Xenopus tropicalis: one gene and its partners. The protein of the gene in region 2 purifies or fractionates together with the protein of the main gene of each other region. This does not show direct contact. Links are inferred from orthologs where the notes say so. Each region holds a gene or a part of one and is shown on either strand. Other genes may lie near its edges.

Region 1 (6,388 bases), on a different chromosome or scaffold from region 2:
ATCTATATCAATACTACTATAGAGATGCTAAAACTTTAAGCCAGTGCAGTCAGTTTATAATATAAAATATGGCATTTTTAGCCATATTCATTTTTAGGGTTTAGTTCTCCTTTAAAAATAAAATTTTAATGTTGATTGAAATGCAAACAAATATAAGAAGTCTATATGTATATAAGCATAATTTTATTTATATGGCACTTCTTCTGTACAAAATATTAAAATATACAGTATATATAAATGAGTAAGTACTGATTGAATCTTTTTGCATCTACTTCAGTAAACAAACAGGCAAAATTGCTGTACCACAGAACTTACTGGGGGTAGAAAGGTGAAACTGTTCCCAAAGATAAAGTGATCAAGTCTTTTAATGGCAAAGCAAAGTAATAATATGACATTAAGGGGAAAGCATACTAATTAAAGAGAACATGTTTTTGCACCTGTTTTTGTCATGGATAGGCTAAATAGTATTCTCCAGTTTTGTATGTCCAAATGAATATGTTCTACCAGTGAATGAATGGATGCAACATGCAGGGATATAACTAAAACAATCATACTAGAATAATCCTGAGGAAAAATAAATAACTAACAAACTAAGAACACTGACTATCTCATGCCCTTTCAAGTCTCATGTTTTCCCAAGGAAACAAATACTAGTGGTTGATGGAAGAGCAGATAGGGCCATACACATACAGAACTGACAAAACAGGAAAACAAATGTAATGATTTACTCCACTATCCATTACATTTTTAAAAGAAATTAAATCTACCTGTCAATGTATCTTCTTGCCTCTACATTGTCCAAAGCAGTCACTATAATATCCTGTCTGGTGCAGAACTCATCATCAAAAATGTTCTCAGTTGCAGGGCAGACCTTGTCTAACCGCGGATCAATTTTTAATTGTGGGTTGATGTTGAGGGTTGCAGCAGAAGCAGTATAGCTTTTAGGTTTCTGAAAAGAGAGCAAGATGTGACATACTAATATTTGTAAAATAACCCTATTAATATAGCGGGTGCAATTTTTTTGAAGAAAACGGATGAAACAATAAACTCAGCATGGAATAGAGCAAACAGCCATCTGTAAACAAGACATGAATGGCACTGGCAACTTCCCCAGTGCAGGGCAACAGTACATGTTAATTACTTTAAAAAACATTCATTTTTTGGTGTTACTGTTCCTTTACTAATCAATAGAAGGTAAGCTGTAAACATAAGGGAAGGATAGGTCACAGGATACTGAAACCTAACGTACAATGTCTGGAGTTGAAATATACCTGAATGTGTTTGGGTCGGAAGAGAAACTGCCTGTTCAGGTTAGATTTTTCAATTAAGTCAGGGTCTGTTACTGTAATCTGTTTAAAAAGAAAGACAATGTAAGTTATGTAAGGAGAGCTTGGGCAATGGCACAAGGAAAGATTTAGGACATTGCCAGTCAACTGCTGAGCTGCAAATGGGTGCACACTAACACACAGTTTTTCATTTTGGCTCATTTGCAACACTGGGTTAATAAATTCCAGTGCAGAAACACATAGCAACCAACATGTTGAAGAGTGATTAGAAGTAAAAAAAAAAAACAAAAAAAAAAAATGCACTTTGCCTCTAGGCTTTGTGCCCACTGCCATCAGACGAAATACTCTGCACTTGCAAAATGGAGTGAAAACAGCTTCTAAAGTTTATATATGCACACTAGATGGGCAGCATGTTTGATCCTTAGCACTACAGCACTTGTACCTAAACCTGAAGCCCTTTAGTCTTAAACATCACATTATAAACTGGAATTAATATTTTAAACATGCACAGCAACAGTGATCATTTCTGCCTGAAATGTATAGGGCTTTATAGTTAACTGCTGGAATAATAATAATCTGTATGTTTTGATCATTTGCCTACAATGAGAGTGTTTTGGGCAACCTGATTAAAGGTAAAATGGTCAGATCTGCATATAAATAAATAACTTACGGTTGAAACTTACCAGCCCACGCTCTGAGCCACTTCCAGCCCCTAAAAGTGCAAAATTCTTCAACATTTCACACCCAATTGCACCGCATCCAACCTATGGAATATATGAATACAACTGCAAATTGAGTACAATAGTTATTTAACACTTTTCTGTTTAATATGATAAGCTCTCCATTGTAAAAACATGTATGATATTGTAAGTACAGTTTGAGACATGCCCATTGTTATGTCATGTAAATCTATAGGACCATACAAGGTATATGGAACAATGGGATATTAATAGAACTGTCCCTTTGTCTGACTAATACCATGTTTGTATCTCTGCTCTTAAATAAATATTTAAACTAGAACTTACACATAAGGATTAACACACTCCTATATAGAAGGAAATATGCAAGTCCCACCAACACACAGAAAAATGGTTGTATGGTAATTGAACAGGCTATGGAAGCAACCCTGCTGGTGAATTCATAAAGAATTACTACTCCAAATATAACAACCCAAAACAGCTTTCAGAAAAGATACTCACCAGGAACACATTTATGTTGTGAATCTTCTTGCAAAATGTGTCTCCTATGCAAGCCCTTAAGGCATCATATCTGTCTCCTCTATAAGAATTTGAGGGGATAGAATTTACTGTATGGTAAGTCGTAAAAAAGAAGGAATATACTGTATGATTTAATGATTTAAAGCAAAAAGGAAGGGTATTTGTGGACATTTTATTGTCTTTGTGTGAGGGACAAATTGTGTGGCCTTTGAGAATATAGATAACACTGGCTAATATAACTGGCTACATTAGAAATATATTACTAGATTCCATTACAATTGTCACTGAAGTCACCGTCCTTTCTGCCAAAGAAATGATGGGCTATATCAGTACAGGTATGGGACCTGTTATCTAGAATGCTTAGGACCTGGGGTTTTCCGGATCTTTCCGTAATTTGGATCTCCATACCTTAAATCTACTAAAAAGTCATTTAAAGATTAAATAAACCCAAAAGGATTGTTTTGCCTCCAATAAAGATTAATTATATTTTAGTACAAGGTACTGTTTTATTATTACAGAGAAAAAAGAAAACAATTTTTAAAAATTAGAATTATTTACTTATAATGGAGTCTATGTGAGATGGCCTTTCCGTAATTCAGAACTTTCTGGATAACGGATCCCACACCTGTATCTGAGACCGGTATGAGCGCTCTGTCTGCTTTTTTTCTATTTTTCTGCTAACACACCTGTCCTGCCAGTAATATTTGCCAGCAACAGTAGAAACCATCACAAGGAGCAATTATGATGATTCCCTTTCAGGGAGATTTGTAGTGGTTTGTCTCACTCCCTCAGAACAATAAATCACTGGGTGACCAAAGTTACCAATCTCCCCTTGTGCCATTAGAGAGCTCTCTCACTTCCATACAAACCAGATACACAGACTGATACATAGAATAAAGGCCTTGGCACACAGGAATTTCACTCAAACAAACAGTTGTGATTTAATGGGATCACATGGATGGGGGTCAAAAAGTTGGCTGTGGTGCCCTTAAATGCACTGATTGGCAAATAATAAACCTGAAATTAGTAAAACTGGAAAGTGTATAGTCATGTTTAGTTATAAAACAGAAATCTACATAGCAACGTTTTGATGCATAATAAAATTACATACAAATGCACTAAAAAGTCTAATAGTCCCTACATAACATCAATAAAAGGCTGGAAAAACATTGGCTGTACCTTGGAAGAAATTCATCACGATTTGCTGTTTCCAGGGAGTGAACAATGTCCAAAGCATCAATAAAGAGCTGCAAACAGTCAAAGTAAGAAGCAACTAATTAAATTTGCACTACAATAAAATAAGTTATAGTTAATTTTAGGTATAAGCAACTAAATGCTTGATAGCTGCATCCAGTGCCTTGCAGAATTATTCATCACCTTGAGCAGTTCTCTAATTTTTATCTAGACAGCATAAGAATGGCATTATATTATTGGACTGCTTTTTATCTGCAAGGTCTAAGAATTTTGTTTAAATAGAAGAATTCAGAGTGAAAAAAAATACAGGTAAAATACTGCAAAAGAATTTAACCAGGTCTGTTAAAAACTAATCTTCTGAGAAAGTTCATTTTTCAGCAGGACAACTGTCAAAACACAAGCCCTAAACTAACTTGAACAACATGGAGAATATTTACCAAGAAAAATAGGGCAAAATTACTCCAAACCAAACAGTGTCCAAAGCTTTTGTGTATTAATCCCAAATACTTAAAACTGTTATTGGTGTACAAGGTGGCTCTAAAAATAATAAAATGGGGGATGAAAACAAACAGACTAGTACATTTTTGTCATATTTAAAAAACTAAAATCTGACTTTCAGTGCTTTATAAAGAACATGATTTCAGCATAGGGTGTATTTCACTAAATTTAAAGAACTCATCAAGGAGGTATATTCTTCTGCAAGGCACTGTAACTATGTATTTATGTATAGTCAAAAGCAGCAATACAATTATAGTTTATTATATATGGATATGTGTCCTGACAACAGGTACAAATATTTTTGCATGAAGCTAAATATTACATACTTATTAATTCCGAAAACCATTAAATGCAATGAAGATTAAACAGATATCTGGTAAGGTTTATTTATTAACAGAACACAGCTATAAGAACAAAAAGATTATTTTCAAATAGTAGTTAATGAATAAGACAAATAACTTACCCATTGTTGCAATGGAGAAAATTTTCCTGTCACTGCTTTCAAAACTTCCTGGCTAACAATGCCACCTATTGCAGCTGCAAGTGGCGTTAACAATCCTTGAGCTGTCCAAGACAACCATTTTACCAGGTTCTCATCCAGCAGAGGCTACAAAATCAACAAAACAAAAAGATGGATTTATGGTTAACTGGTGGGCCAATTTATATAAATACAATCAGATGCTAGGGGAAAGCACACATTTAAAGCTTACTATAAAGGTTTAATATAGGTGTCCATTTTAAAAAACTTGTAATCTCATTAGAACTCTAAACTGGGAAGAGAGAATGGTAAGGACATGAGATTTCACCAAACTTGTTTCACCAAACCCTGTGTCCAGTGTATGAGGATTCCAGATGAGGGGATACAAAATAGAACATTTTAATTCTGTACTATCACTGACTGATCAGGTTTGTGAATAGCAAGAAAATAAAAATTCTTTTGGATAATCTTTAGATAAGCATACATAGCCAGGTCACCAAATAGACAGATCTATGGCCAGCCAAGTCTTGGGACAAACCAGGCTGATTAAATTTCTGGCACTCTGGCCAACTATTGGATGACACCAAATACTGTAACTCGTACAGTGGTCAACAGTAGACACACATCCACTGCCTACTTTTCTGTAAACATAGAAAGCAGTTTACCCTCTCTAATACCTACCTTGTTCTTTAAGACTTCAGTTACAGATCTTGCTAACTTCTGCATCTCTTCAGCATCCAGAAGGCACCTGATAAATTAATTAATTTACATTAAGGCATCTAAGGAAAAAATACATTTTGTTTTAAATTAAAGGGGATAACACATTTAAGAAACTCTTTGAAGGGCCTCATTTTCCTATCTGAAAACAAAAATCCCGCTATAAGCCATTTATCTCCACACTAATAATTAATTAAAAAAAAATCAGATCAGTACCCTATATTTGGAAGGCGGTTGTGCTTCTCTTGAAAATAATCTAGTGCCAGCATTGCAGTATGAATATTCAAAGGTGCCTGGAGAAGAAGAAAAATAATTGCTTACAATTAAGTGCAACAAAAACACACAACCTTCCTTTAGGAGTCACAATGACAAAGAACCAAAAAGAAGTGCAAATGAAGTTCTGCTTTTTTTGCATTTACTCCTGCATCCTTGTTTCTTCAGAGCAACTATGATAGAAGTCAGACCTGAGATACAGACACAACAGACTCCAACACATTTCTGATAATAATTATTATTATTAACTATTATTTATAAAGCGCCAACATATTCCGCGGCACTGCCCAATAAGTGGGATTCATACATTGGACATACAGAGTAATATATAAAGCAACCAATAACCGATACAAGAGGTGAAGAGGACCCTGCCCAAAGGGACACAAGGTGTGTGAAACGGCAAGATCAGAATTAAGCAATGTGAGTGGTGTGGTATTGTTTGTAGCAGCCTGCTGAGGTTATGTTAAACAAAATGTTTAACATAAGAGATGTTGCTTAAAATGTTTATTTAAAGTGTCTATATCTTTACAAGGTACAAAGAAAAGGTTTTTTTTCTTTTTTTGTGCCAGCCTGTCAGCTACTGAAGTCCTAGTAGTATCGTTACCGTAAGAGTTCTTAGAGAAAAACATTTATGAGTGATACTGACACTGCATACTGCCACAGAATAGCCTTCTGTTTAACCACTGACCTCTGGTTTACTGAAATCCACAGTGAGGTATGTTGGG
Region 2 (6,388 bases):
GTTAGTGTGCACTGTGACTCCTATGATTCATATGATCCCTGGATAAACTTGTACTTGTAGCCTACCCCTGTATTCCCTCACTTGTACTGAGAGCTATCCCCCCTACCCCTGTATTCCCTCACTTGTACTGAGAGCTATCTCCCCTACCCCTGTATTCCCTCACTTGTACTGAGAGCTATCTCCCCTACCCCTGTATTCCCTCACTTGTACTGAGAGCTATCTCCCCTACCCCTGTATTCCCTCACTTGTACTGAGAGCTATCTCCCCTACCCCTGTATTCCCTCACTTGTACTGAGAGCTATCCCCCCTACCCCTGTATTCCCTCACTTGTACTGAGAGCTATCCCCCCTACCCCTGTATTCCCTCACTTGTACTGAGAGCTATCCCCCATAACCCTGTATTCCTTCACTTGTACTGAGAGCTATCCCCCATAACCCTGTATTCCCTCACTTGCTAAACAGTTATAAAGGAATCAAACAAAAGGAATAAAGGAATCAAACGAGGATAAAGAACCTGATTAAAGTCAGGGTCAGTCTCCCCATCTGCTCTGGGTTCATCTTTCTCATCCTCCAGGTCAGAACTGCTGACGTTCAGCTCCGGCGCCACCTCCTTCATTACCTGCAGTACAGATGGGAGCGGGTCAGCACCTGTGAGAGTACGGGCCTGTAACGTGGCACCGGCTATAACAAAGCCTCACCTTCTTCCGATCCACAACTTTGTGAATGTAGATTGTGGCCTGAGCGTATTCCCGCAGATCCCTCTGCTGCTGGCACAGCAATCCTTCCCTACAGTCTGGGCACAGCTCTGCCACAAAGCAACCCAGAGAGAGCGAGTGAGAACTAAGCAAGCAATGGGATATCCTACTGTTATTTAGGGCTCAATAGGCGCACATTGGAAATATCAGTGTATTTCACAAACCTGTTAACATTGCCATTAGCTAACCCTATTTGGGATGAAACATGTGACCTATTTAAATTCTCAAAAATAAAATGTCTACCTGTATAAATCCATTACATGCACAGGTACAGAGCTCTAATGTTATGTACTGATTCTCCTCAGCTGCTCTCTTTCCTATGGTCAGACAGGAACCTACCCATGGGTAAGTACACCTGGAAATGTTAAAGGGTACACTGGATTCACTTACCCAGGGGGAGGTTCCTGTCTGACCATGGGAAAGAGAGCAGCCCAGGATCAGGAAGTACAGAGAATCAGAGCTCTGTACCTGGGTAAGTACTGGGGGGAGATTGGATGCACTTACCCAGGGGGAGGTTCCTGTCTGACCATGGGAAAGAGAGCAGCCCAGGAGCAGGAAGTACAGAGAATCAGAGCTCTGTACCTGGGTAAGTACTGGGGGGAGATTGGATTCACTTACCCAGGGGGAGGTTCCTGTCTGACCATGGGAAAGAGAGCAGCCCAGGATCAGGAAGTACTAAGAATCAGAGCTCTGTACCTGGGTAAGTACTAGGGGCAGAGTAAATTTACACAGCAGGAGAGCAGGTGTATAACACAAAAGGTTAATCTGGGATTATGAAGACAACAAAACATTGTGCTGTGCAATATTATAACATGTTACTGAGGAATCAGCAAATAGCTTACCAATACAGAGAAGGGTTAAGACTCAATAAAGTCCCACTTACTGGGGTCTGATTCATAGTCGACAGTAAATGTCCTGTCCTCCCTGGTTACAACCGTTCGGCTGATTTTGATTGTGTGGTCGACAATAAAGAGTTTCTGGATAGCGTCCCATTCTGCAGGCCATATGGGAGCTATACTGTGCAGAAGAAAGGCACAAGAAATGCCCATTAAACTGTGGCCAAAATCTGGCATAATGGGTGTGGCCAAGCAACGCAGTTGGCGGTGTGGCATGAAAATATAGCAATGACGAAAAGACTCACAGTTTGGCGTCCTCCTTAGTCATGTTGGTAAAGGAGATCATGAGACCCCCATGGGGGCAGAGAAGTAGACTGTTCCCTATAGACATGACTGGGTTGCTTTTTGTGGGTCGCCTACATTAGAGCAGAAATAAAGAAATCATTGAATATAAAAGGCAAGGTGGCTGACAGGAGTAACAGGGGGGTCAGAATGGATGGGGGCAGATAAGCAAGTTACCTAATGAACTTTCTCCATTCTTCCACAAAGAACTGAGACACAACGAAGAACTCGGCCGTATCCTACGGGAAATTGGGAGACACTGTAACAAGACTTTCCATTTCCACAACATGAGACAATCGTTAAACAAGGAATGTGGGGCACTCTTCATACACGTATAGCAGGGACTAGCTAGCCTCAAACACTGGCTCACTAGTACTGAGGCCAATGGGAATGGGACAGAGGGCAATACCTGAGGCCAGCTCCCCAGTAATGGTCTGTTCTTGTCTTGAAACAGGTTGGGAAGTGCCGTCTTCTGGTCATTTGCCATCATCTTATGCAGAGCTTCGTGCCTCTCCCCTTCCTGTTCCAGAACCTAGAGAGACAGAGGTGTTACCGACAAACAGAACACAGGCCCCTTGGTAATACAAGTGATTCTTTCTATGACGGAAAGGAACAAAAGTATAAAGGCTGCTGTGTATGTGGGGGTCTCCTGAGCAAATTGGGGGTACCAGCTGCACATACACATCCCTGCAAACACAAACCTTGCACTGGGAGCAGGACTCCTGGCTGTGCCGGAACTCAGGCGCCGTAGGAAAATACTCCTTCAGCTTGTACCAGGCTGCTTCAGAGATCAGCCTCCTCTCACTCTCCGAAATGCTCAGACCCCCTGCGATACACAAACGTATTGGTAACTGCCTCAGCCAAGTGAAACAAAGTCAGATATATAGGAGAAAAAGTCTCTTTTTAAAACTTGAAAATATCTAGTTTTTTCCCTATACCATATATATTTTCAAGGGGAAGTTAATCCCATCATTGTTTTCTATTTCACACCTTTTCAAGGAGAAGTTAATTCCATTTGTTTAAACTTGAATTTTTCAAGTTATAACAATACTTTCAGCTTGAAAAATGTGTGATTTACGAACGTAAACTCGAAATTTTCATCCGACCAATAGCAGCGTTATCATGACATTTGATAAATGCAACAACAATCAAGTTTAATTCAAATTTATACCATGTTGAGTGTATATGACTTTCAAGGTCAGAAAAAAACAATTTAGTAAATCAGCCCCATAATGTAGTTAGGTGAAATATCCCTGCAGAGAGGGGAAGGGAAATGCAAAATGGATTCAACTGTTACATTAGGGATAAAGGGAAACTATAGCAACAGATCGAAAAATGTTTTGGAAATGCTTGGGACACAAGTGTGTAATATATTCTATAGAAACCTGAAACGTATAAATCTGAGTCTAAACACATGTGCGGTACCCACCGTGCTGACAAATAATATCTTCGTTAAACCCAAGCTCAGAATCCGCTTCCTTCTTTTCCTCATCTATCCCCTCTATAGGGAAACAAGAGAAAGGAGTTCATAAGGAGGAGTCATAACAACAATAATAATAATAATAATAATAATATGAGCGTTGCCCCTACCCTCGCAGGCCTTTGGGGATTCTCCATTTACTTTCCAATCGCCCTGGGCTAAGTCCTCTTCCTGCTGGTCAAGCTGCTCGGTTGCCAACTGACGCCAGCGGCGCAGTGAGCTTTTTCCAATCCAGAAGCCTTCATTGCTGGAAACATTATTTGAAGTCATGAATTAATCACTTTCTTGTAGTTAGGGGTCACCATTCACTGTAATAACAAGAATTCTACTGATGCAGAGTGGATTCCCTTACCCAGGGGGAGGTTCCTAATAAGATCTGCCTTGCATTTTAGTGCTAACGATAAGACAGGTTAGGCAAAGGAATGAATATATTACCTCTCCACTGGAAGCTTAACCATATTAGTTAACGATTTGTAATCTTCATTCAGTTGGTTCTTCAAGCGCAGAACCCTGCATCTTTCTACCACACAGTCCTTGCAGAGAGCATCATCTAGAAAGGGGGGTAAAAGATACATTGTCGGGGGGTAAGCACCAAGCAGACTGGTTAGCAATCCTAATCAGTATTGTGGAAGTTGAAATCCACTTGCCCCATGGATTAGCCCCTTACAATCTTCTCTGGGGTGAATATAACAATCCCTATTACTTATCTCTTATTCTATTTTCTGCTCCTGCACTGCTGTCCCTCCCAATATCAGCAAGAGGGGCAGGGAACCAGCGTCAGACTGGGCCACCGGGGTACCGAGAAAAAACCCAGTGGGCCCTGGCGGCCCAGATCCAGTACCCCCCCAGGGCGTTCCCGCGATCCATCATCCCCCTCCCCCGAAGCGCCGCAGGTAAGATTCTTTTAGGAGCGTCCAGGGGAGGGGGTCGGAAGGTGTTGGGAGCCTCTGTGGGGGGAGGGGGGGCGGTGAAGGCGGCGGGGCCATTGGGGGGGTGCAGGGGTCCCTGAGACAGAGGCCCCGGTGGGCCCTGCACCTCCCAGTCCGACCCTGCAGGGAACAGGTTGGAAGGGCTAGCTAGAGTTTACCCTTTGTACTTTACCCTACCCCTGAAATTAGTTTAGTGGGGATGGTTCCACATGGGGCTTATAAACTGGGCCCAATGGATTCTTTTTTTTAAAAATGTTATTTGTTTTACAAAAGTCAAACAAGAAAACAAAAAATGAGAACATGAAAGTTGCTATACCGTTTGTTACAATAAATCAATAACAATGTATTGCGGTGCCGTCATTACCCAATGGATTTTCTCACTGGTTCCTGGGGATACCCCAGCTGTGCTTACCAGTCAGGCGAGGGCTGCCCCCATACCGCTTGTAGAAGATATCTGCTGCGTGCTGAGAAATTCTCTTCATGAGGGAGATCTTATCGGGGTGCAGCTTCCCATGGGAACACAGACACTTGGAGTTGTCAATGGGTTTGGTTGGAGTGGACTCATCCAGCCATTTCTGGAGCCACTCGAGGGGCACAAACTCGTAGGCACTGTCTGGAAGAAGCAGAGAATGACAGAGAGAGAAGATGTAGCTATGCAGGAACAACACGCTTCTAACAAACGCAGGTTACACACCTATTAGTAGGCACATTTAAAGGGATACTATCATCACACTGAATAATAATATAAATATAAATATAATAAATCATTTCATTTTAACATCAGTAGTGCTGTTTTCTCTAAACAATGTAATATATATTTATTATTCTATCATCCTCTCTCACTTGGTAAATCACAAGCATCTCCAGACAGCAGCTCTGTAAACGCTGTCAAATTTTTTTTTTAATACCAGAAATATATCCCTCCCTTAGAATTCGATGACAGTATACCTTTAATTAAAATGTTTTATTTAATTCATTACAGCAAATGTCACAGGTTTTTAAATCACAACTTTTTGCAGTATACATCAACACAAAATAAGCATTCTACTGGCATATATTTCTGTGTGTCTGTGGCAGATTAGATTTAATTCCCACAGTGCCTGGGATAGAGGAAAACCGTCTCTATAAAGCTCTGTTACCCACTATACAGCCCCACAATACAGTTACCTCGTATAAGAGCAAAGGGCCCATATAACAGTTACCCCACATACAGGCTGTAGCACTGCGCTATAAACAGACCCCAGCCCCAAACCATAGTTATTTACTAATTGCAGTCCCATACAAAAGTTACAGTATGTAACAGCTACAGCCATGTTACCCTACATACAGGCCACAACCCCAAGATACAGTTACGCCATATACAGGCTACAGCTCTAAGTTACATATTTACCCCATTTTACAGACCAGAGCCCCAAATTAGTGAGGACTCAACCATTAGAGTTACCCCTATAGCCATATATAGGCTGCAGTACCGCCTAAAAGCTCCCTTATACAGGCCACAGACGTTACACAATTACCCCACATACCAGCTGCAGTCCCAGCTACCCCATGTAAAGTCCCACATAACCATTACCCCATATAAAGCTTGCAGAGCCACAGGACACTTATTATAAAGACAACAGCCCCAACATTATTCTTTATACAGGGCACTGCCCTAAGTTACACACTTACCCCATATACAGTACATAGCCCCTTGTTATCCAACATACAGGCACTGCCCTAAATTACACACTTACCCCATATACAGTATATATACCCCTTGTTATCCAACATACAGGCACTGCCCTAAGTTACACACTTACCCCATATACAGTACATAGCCCCTTGTTATCCAACATACAGGCACTGCCCTAAGTTACACACTTACCCCATATACAGTATATATACCCCTTGTTATCCAACATACAGGCACTGCCCTAAGTTACACACTTACCCCATATACAGTACATAGCCCCTTGTTATCCAACATACAGGGCACTGCCCTAAGTTACACACTTACCCCATATACAGTACATAGCCCCTTGTTATCCAACATACAGGCACTGCC
Region 3 (6,388 bases), on a different chromosome or scaffold from region 2:
GTCAGCGAGCCGACCGATGTCGCAGGAAGCTGCTGAAATCGGTCGGCTCGTCGATCGCCCAGGTTAGAAAATTTTGATCGGGCGCCATAGAAGGCGCCTGACCAAAATTCTCCCTTCAGAGCTGAATCGGCAGAAGGAGGTAGAAATCCTATTGTTTCTACCTCCTTACCTGCCGATTCAGCCCTGAATGGTGTGTGGCGGATCTGACGATGTTTCGTGCGACCGATGGTCGTACGAAACATCGTCGGATCGCCACGTGTATGGCCAGCTTTAGGCTAATGTCACACATTATCGTAAATTGTAGCTCGCGGATAAAAGTATGTAAGTATTGTTGTACAGGTATGGGATCCCTTATCTGGAAACCTGTTATGAAAGTTCTGAATTACGGAAAGGCCATCTCCCATAAACTCTAAGAAAATAATGCTAATTTTTAAAAATGATTTCCTTTTTCTCTGTAGTAATAATAAAACAGAACCTGTACTTGATCCCAACTAAGATATAATTACCCCTTATTGGGGGCAGAACAGCCCTATTGGGTTTATTTAATGGTTAAATGATTCCCTTTTCTCTGTAATAATAAAACAGTACCTTGTACTTGATCTCAACTAAGATATAATTAATCCTTATTGGGGGCAGAACAGCCCTATTGGGTTTATTTAATGGTTAAATGATTCCCTTTTCCCTGTAATAATAAAACAGTACTTGTACTTGATCCCAACTAAGATCTAATTAATCCTTATTGGAGCCAAAACAATCCTAATGGGGTTAATCACTATTTTAATGATTTTTAGCAAACTTAAGTTATGGAGATCCAAATTATGGAAAGATCCCTTATCCGGAAAACCCCAGGTCCCGAGCATTCTGGAAAACAGGTCCCAAACCTGTACCAAAATCTGCTCTCTGTGCCTGCACCCAGGCTGATGCAATGATTCCAGGTGCAGGTACAGGGAAAGGCTGATGTAGCGTGTTTATCTGCAGGGCGAGATTCAACCCTGTGTGGCAATAGCCTTAAGCACGGATGCCCAAAATGTAGATCTTGAGCTGATGGCCACTAGATCACAGAGATGAAGCATACAAAATAGAACCATACACTTGTAAAGTCTGTGAACCCCTGTTTTAGACACACACCAAAAGCGGTACTAACCTGGCGTAGGAACAATAATAATAACATTTTAGAGAATGCTGATGTTTTAAGAGACATTACTACTAAAGAGCATTTTTTTTTTTTTAATCTTAAAGGACGTCAACCCCCAAAAAATGTTTTTGCCTAATAAATTAGAAACATAATTCTAAGCAACTTTCCAATATCAATTCGTTAAAAATTATTACTACTTTAAAAGTTGTGTAAACGTAATTGCTATTGAAAGCAGCATTTGCCGAAATCCTGGTTGTTACTTTTTAACAAAATTGCATGTGCCAGGCTCCTCCAGCAAGGCAGGTCTGTCACGATTACGCCACTTCAGATGCACGTGACTGTAGGCGTGGCTGTCTAGAGGGTCCCTTGCTCAGTCTCACACACCTGACACACAGGTCAGACTAGCATCACAGCACCCCAAAGACCAACCAACGCTCACAAACTCATACACAACTTGCTGCCACCACTTTCATACTTCTTACACTGGCGATGAGAGATGCCAAGCACACTGGTAGAGAAAGGGTTAATGTAAAGAACCGACACACACACTCTCCTTACCAGCAGTCAAAGGGTTAATCAGCACACAGCATACAGAGGGCTAAGGCACACAACACAGTTACACACTCGGAGGTTAGGTACGTTTTAGAGCATCAAGGACAAACTTATTAAATTTTATATTTAATATTATAAAAAGTATAACAGTGCAAGTTTAAAACAAGATGTTACAACAAAGGACATACGATAAAACAAGTACAAACAGTTTTAAAATAAAAAGGGAAAAATATAGAAGTCCTATACTATACCAAGCAAAGTCCTTCTAGTCCTGGAGGCAAGGGGAAACCACAGGATAAACTTCCAATAGAAATTGGTCCTCCACATAATATCTTCAGAAGAGCTGACTATTTATCCCAGTTTGCAGGGGGATCAGGTAACTGGACACTCCCCCCTCCCTCAGGAATGCAAGGGGTGTCACCATTAGCAGGACACAGTGTGAGTTTTATGGCCTCCTGTGTATGGACTGAGTGTATGGGACTTGTCCAATGATACCAATGTCCATAACTCCTTGTGGGAACATGATGAAATTAGATTCATCAATTCTTAATGATCCCACCGGTCCCATACAGACTAAACATCACCACTGTGTGACCTGCCCCTGCCCAGATACTCCTATCTGACAAACCAAGTGCCCAAATCCAGTGATGTTTGGACCCGTATGAAAGGCCATCTTAAATGAAACATATACTCAGGTTTTGGTACCTCTAGTATAAATAGTATGGGTTCTGGGACAATAAATGTTTGTGAGTTTGGGTTATGGTGTGACCTCCACATCACCTATGATGGGTCCCAATGTGAACTCTAAGTCACCCCCACGTGGGCTTTCACTCCCCCACATGGCATGGCTCTTATCAGCCAGGGATTAGAGTTGGGCATTTCAGGATGCGAGGCCTTTACACATGGCTGGTTCCAGACCCTAGTGACCAGAGGCCTGTTATATATCTCTTTCTGGCACATTTCTGGAAGATTTTGGGATACCTTGGCCTGCTTGATTAACCCTTACAGGCCTATATCATGACAAGGTCTGTCAGTCTGCTGCCTTGTGTTACATTGCTTCAAGTGCCAGAGCCACCAGGGCAGAGACTAGAGAGGACAGGTAGACACTGCTTTTAATAGCAATTATATATACAAATAACTAAAAAAAATAATGAATGAATGAAGTAATGAATGTATATTGCTTAGAATTAAGTTTTGTTTAATTAAGCAAAAAGTTATTTTTGGGGCTGACAATTCCTTTGAACAGAAGTGTAACCAAACCAATCATTACCTGTGAATACTACGATCTGGGGAAAGTTCAGCTTCATAATATCCATCCTTACAGTCCTTTCCTACCAACTCATGAGGGTGAGGTTTGTGTGGAGAATCCTTAGTAACTAGGGATATTCGAATACGCGCTGAGCCCTGGTAATGGTTTATCTAAAATGACCATAAAGAATGGAAGGAATCAATCAGACAATAAAAAAATAAATAAAATAAATGTGCAAATGACAAAAACCATGAATGAACAAATCAAATACTATGATGATGGTAAAGTGATGATTAGAATGATCAATAAGGCTAAAAAATTTTTCACTTCCCTTAATAAACAGCTGGGTAAAGAGCTATGAAAGTACAGCCATCAGTTAAGTCAAACAGAGCCCATAAGTTGACCGCTATCTTGTAGGCCATTACCAACTATGCCAGTGTGTCTTACAGCAGAAAATGAAAAAACATACATTATCTGACAACAATGGCTATTCAGACACTGAAACAATTTGTTCATTTAATGAACAACAAATCCTGCAATAAAACGGTGTTCTTTTTAGTCATTTCGCTTTTTGTTTAGCAGCTCTTCAGTTTGGAGTTTCAGCAGCTATCTGGTTGCTAGGGTCCAAATTATATAGCAACCAGGGAGTGGTTTGAAGGAGAGACTGGTACATGAATAGGAAAGGACCTGAATAGAAAAAAAAGTTATAAAAAGTAACAGTAAAATTGTAGCCTCACAGGGTCAGTGACCCCCATTTAAAAGCTGCAAATTGTTCAAAAACTATAATTGGCCATTCTATAACATACTAAAAGTTTACTTATAGGTGAACCACTCCTTTAAAAGGGACAGGGGTCTTTTTTTCACTCAGGGGCAGATTTATCAAAGTCCGAATTTCGGCTAATTAAAAGTATGATTGGCAAAAATTCGGAATAAATACAATAATTTTGGATGTGTGTTAATTGTGAGAAAATTCCTATTGTGTTTGTACGCAAATATCGTGGCGCAATCCGAAAGTTCTGAAATTTTCGTATCCGAACGATCATAAACGCCGCAAAAAACTTTGACTTTCAACCTTCAATGCATGATTTTGGAAGCCTCCCATAGGATATAATTACACTTTCTGCTTCCTTCTGTTTTAACTAGATGTGCAGAATAAGAAGCAGTCCAACAGCATTATGCATCGCCACCTCACTTCACTGTAGGTCTGCATCAGCGATATTAAGTGTTTTGCATAAACACTTTCCTTTAAAGTAGGGTGGCACAAAAGAAGCCATTATGCAAACGAGCTATGCCAGGTCATGCCAGCTGAGTATCTCTCAGACTAATTAACTGAAACACAAGTGTCATCTGACCTGAATAACAGAGAACATGTGCCAGAAAAAATGTGACACCAAAAATTACACCTAAATTGTGTGTAAAGCCGGTATGCATTGGAACTCAAAACACATAACACTGTTAGTGCTCAAAAGGGGGGGGGGCTGAATGCTGTTTGCATACAAATATTTTGTAAAGTCACGTTAAAACATCTAAATCACAGATAATACACTTATTGCAGGATTTGTATTCATCTGTACAAATTGTTTAAATGTCTGAATAGCAATGTGTCTTTTCAAGTGAGTATTTATGAGCTTTGCACACTGTTTGCAAGTGAAGTCTAAAGGGGGCCATACACAGGCCGATTTCAGCTGCCGATTCTGGTCCAAACCGGTTCGGCAGCTTATCTGCACCCCGATGCCTACCCGATGGATATCTGGCCTCAAATTGGGCAGATCTCGATCAGGCAGGCTTGATTTTCTGTCAGATCAGGGAGCACATCGGCTCGTTGATGCGGTCTCCGATCAGAAGGCGTCTATGTCTGCTATTGCAATTCGATTGTTGGCCCTAGGGATGGCATATCAGGAAAAGATCTGCTCGCTTGGCGACCTCGCCAAATAAGTAGTGTAAGGCTACTTTAACAATGCACAATAAATACAGTGGAACATATTACCTTTAAATGGCTTAAAGCGGTTATTGTTGCAAAAGTTCACTCTACAAAATAAGAAAGGGGTAGTTCACCTTTTAAATTAACTTTTAGTTTGCTGTAGACATTGATACGCTGAGACAATCTGCATTTGTTCTTAATTTTTTTCCCAGCAGGTCTCCAGTTTGGCATTTAAGCAGCTATCTGGTTGCTAGAATCCCCAGCAACCAGGCAGTAGTTTGAATGAAAGACTGGAATACGAAAAAGGAAAGGGTCTTAATAGGAAGACAAATAATAAAACAATAAAATTATAGTCTCAGAGGGCAATAGCTTTTGGCTTTCGGGTCAGTGGCCCCCATTTGAAAGCTGGAAAGAGGGAGAGGAATGCAAATCATTAAACTATGAAAAATAATGGAGACCAACTGAAAAGTTTCTAGGAATAAACATCCTATAACATACTAAAAGTTAATGTAAATTTACAGTGTTGGACTGGGATGCCAGGGACCCACTAGAAAACCTTAGACCATAGGCCTACTCTCCAAACAATTTTTTTCCACTTCTTACTCAATCTCTATATTTTCCTAGTTTTTTTTTATCTTTATATACTATAATCTATTCTTCTATATATTTAGTTGCTTTGTTCCCATAGAAAAATAAGCAATGGACCTGAATTAGGCCAAATCGCTAGAAGCAGCCATTTGCCCAGTGGGCCAACCGGGAATTTTCCTGTTATCCCTGTGGGCCAGTCCAACACTTTAAATGTGAACCACCTGTTTAATGTGGTGATATGTTTTTTTTTTTCTCCAAAGATCAAGTGATACGGAGAGTCACCAAATTCTGTCATGCAGTAATGCCAATCCCAGCACCCATTGCCCCGAGGATGGAGCTCTAGAAGTAAATCAAACCACGCTCACCAGCACACCCTGGCCTTTCCACTCTGTTCCACCTGGTGCACAGTATTTAGAGAGACTTCGGCACTCTCCACCACGATCCAAATAGCACAAAAATACCGGCACAACAGGACTTGTTTAAGTGGGATAAACCCTGCTGATTTTTAATAGTAGCAAACCATGTACATGGTTTGCTACTATTAAAAATAAGCAGGGTTTATCCTGCTTAAAGGAACAGTAACACCAAAAAATTCAAGTGTTTTAAAGTAATTGAAATATAATGTACTGTTGCCCTGCACTGGTAAAACTGGGGTGTTTGCTTCAGGAACACTACTATAGTTTATATAAATAAGCTGCTGTGTAGCCATGGGGGCAGCCATTCAAGCTGGAAAAAAGGAGAAAAGGCAGAGGTTCCATAGCAGATAACAGATAAGACACCATTGTATTCTACAGGGTTTATCTGTTAGCTGCTATATAACCAGTGCCTTTTCTTCTTTTGAATGGCTGCCCCCTTGGCTACACACCAGGGTTTATATAAGCTCTAGTAATGTTTCTAAAGTAAACACAAAACTTTTACCAGCGCAGGGCAGCAGTACATTATA

What was found. The genes of interacting proteins can lie anywhere in the genome.
Region 1: the proteins of usp48 (region 2) and uba6 fractionate together in Homo sapiens (co-fractionation; 3 studies listed by BioGRID, with this or other methods). This does not show direct contact. The link is inferred for Xenopus tropicalis from reciprocal best matches to the Homo sapiens genes USP48 and UBA6.
Region 3: the proteins of usp48 (region 2) and rela purify together in Homo sapiens (affinity purification with mass spectrometry; 3 studies listed by BioGRID, with this or other methods). This does not show direct contact. The link is inferred for Xenopus tropicalis from reciprocal best matches to the Homo sapiens genes USP48 and RELA.

Annotation. Positions count from the first base shown.
Region 1 is NC_030677.2:82,734,265-82,740,652, reverse strand, and holds part of uba6 (ubiquitin-like modifier-activating enzyme 6), read right to left. Parts: coding exon 6,352-6,388; intron 5,684-6,351; coding exon 5,607-5,683; intron 5,422-5,606; coding exon 5,355-5,421; intron 4,803-5,354; coding exon 4,659-4,802; intron 3,751-4,658; coding exon 3,683-3,750; intron 2,565-3,682; coding exon 2,486-2,564; intron 2,051-2,485; coding exon 1,970-2,050; intron 1,350-1,969; coding exon 1,272-1,349; intron 950-1,271; coding exon 768-949; intron 1-767. UniProt on the Homo sapiens protein: Activates ubiquitin by first adenylating its C-terminal glycine residue with ATP, and thereafter linking this residue to the side chain of a cysteine residue in E1, yielding a ubiquitin-E1 thioester and free AMP.
Region 2 is NC_030683.2:132,144,922-132,151,309, forward strand, and holds the end of usp48 (ubiquitin carboxyl-terminal hydrolase 48), read right to left. Parts: intron 4,955-6,388; coding exon 4,754-4,954; intron 3,963-4,753; coding exon 3,848-3,962; intron 3,660-3,847; coding exon 3,523-3,659; intron 3,434-3,522; coding exon 3,362-3,433; intron 2,759-3,361; coding exon 2,634-2,758; intron 2,465-2,633; coding exon 2,342-2,464; intron 2,172-2,341; coding exon 2,110-2,171; intron 2,007-2,109; coding exon 1,896-2,006; intron 1,772-1,895; coding exon of another isoform or gene 1,767-1,771; coding exon 1,649-1,766; coding exon of another isoform or gene 1,638-1,648; intron 805-1,637; downstream 1-804.
Region 3 is NC_030680.2:38,473,340-38,479,727, reverse strand, and holds part of rela (transcription factor p65), read right to left. Parts: intron 3,107-6,388; coding exon 2,958-3,106; intron 1-2,957. UniProt on the Homo sapiens protein: NF-kappa-B is a pleiotropic transcription factor present in almost all cell types and is the endpoint of a series of signal transduction events that are initiated by a vast array of stimuli related to many biological processes such as inflammation, immunity, differentiation, cell growth, tumorigenesis and apoptosis.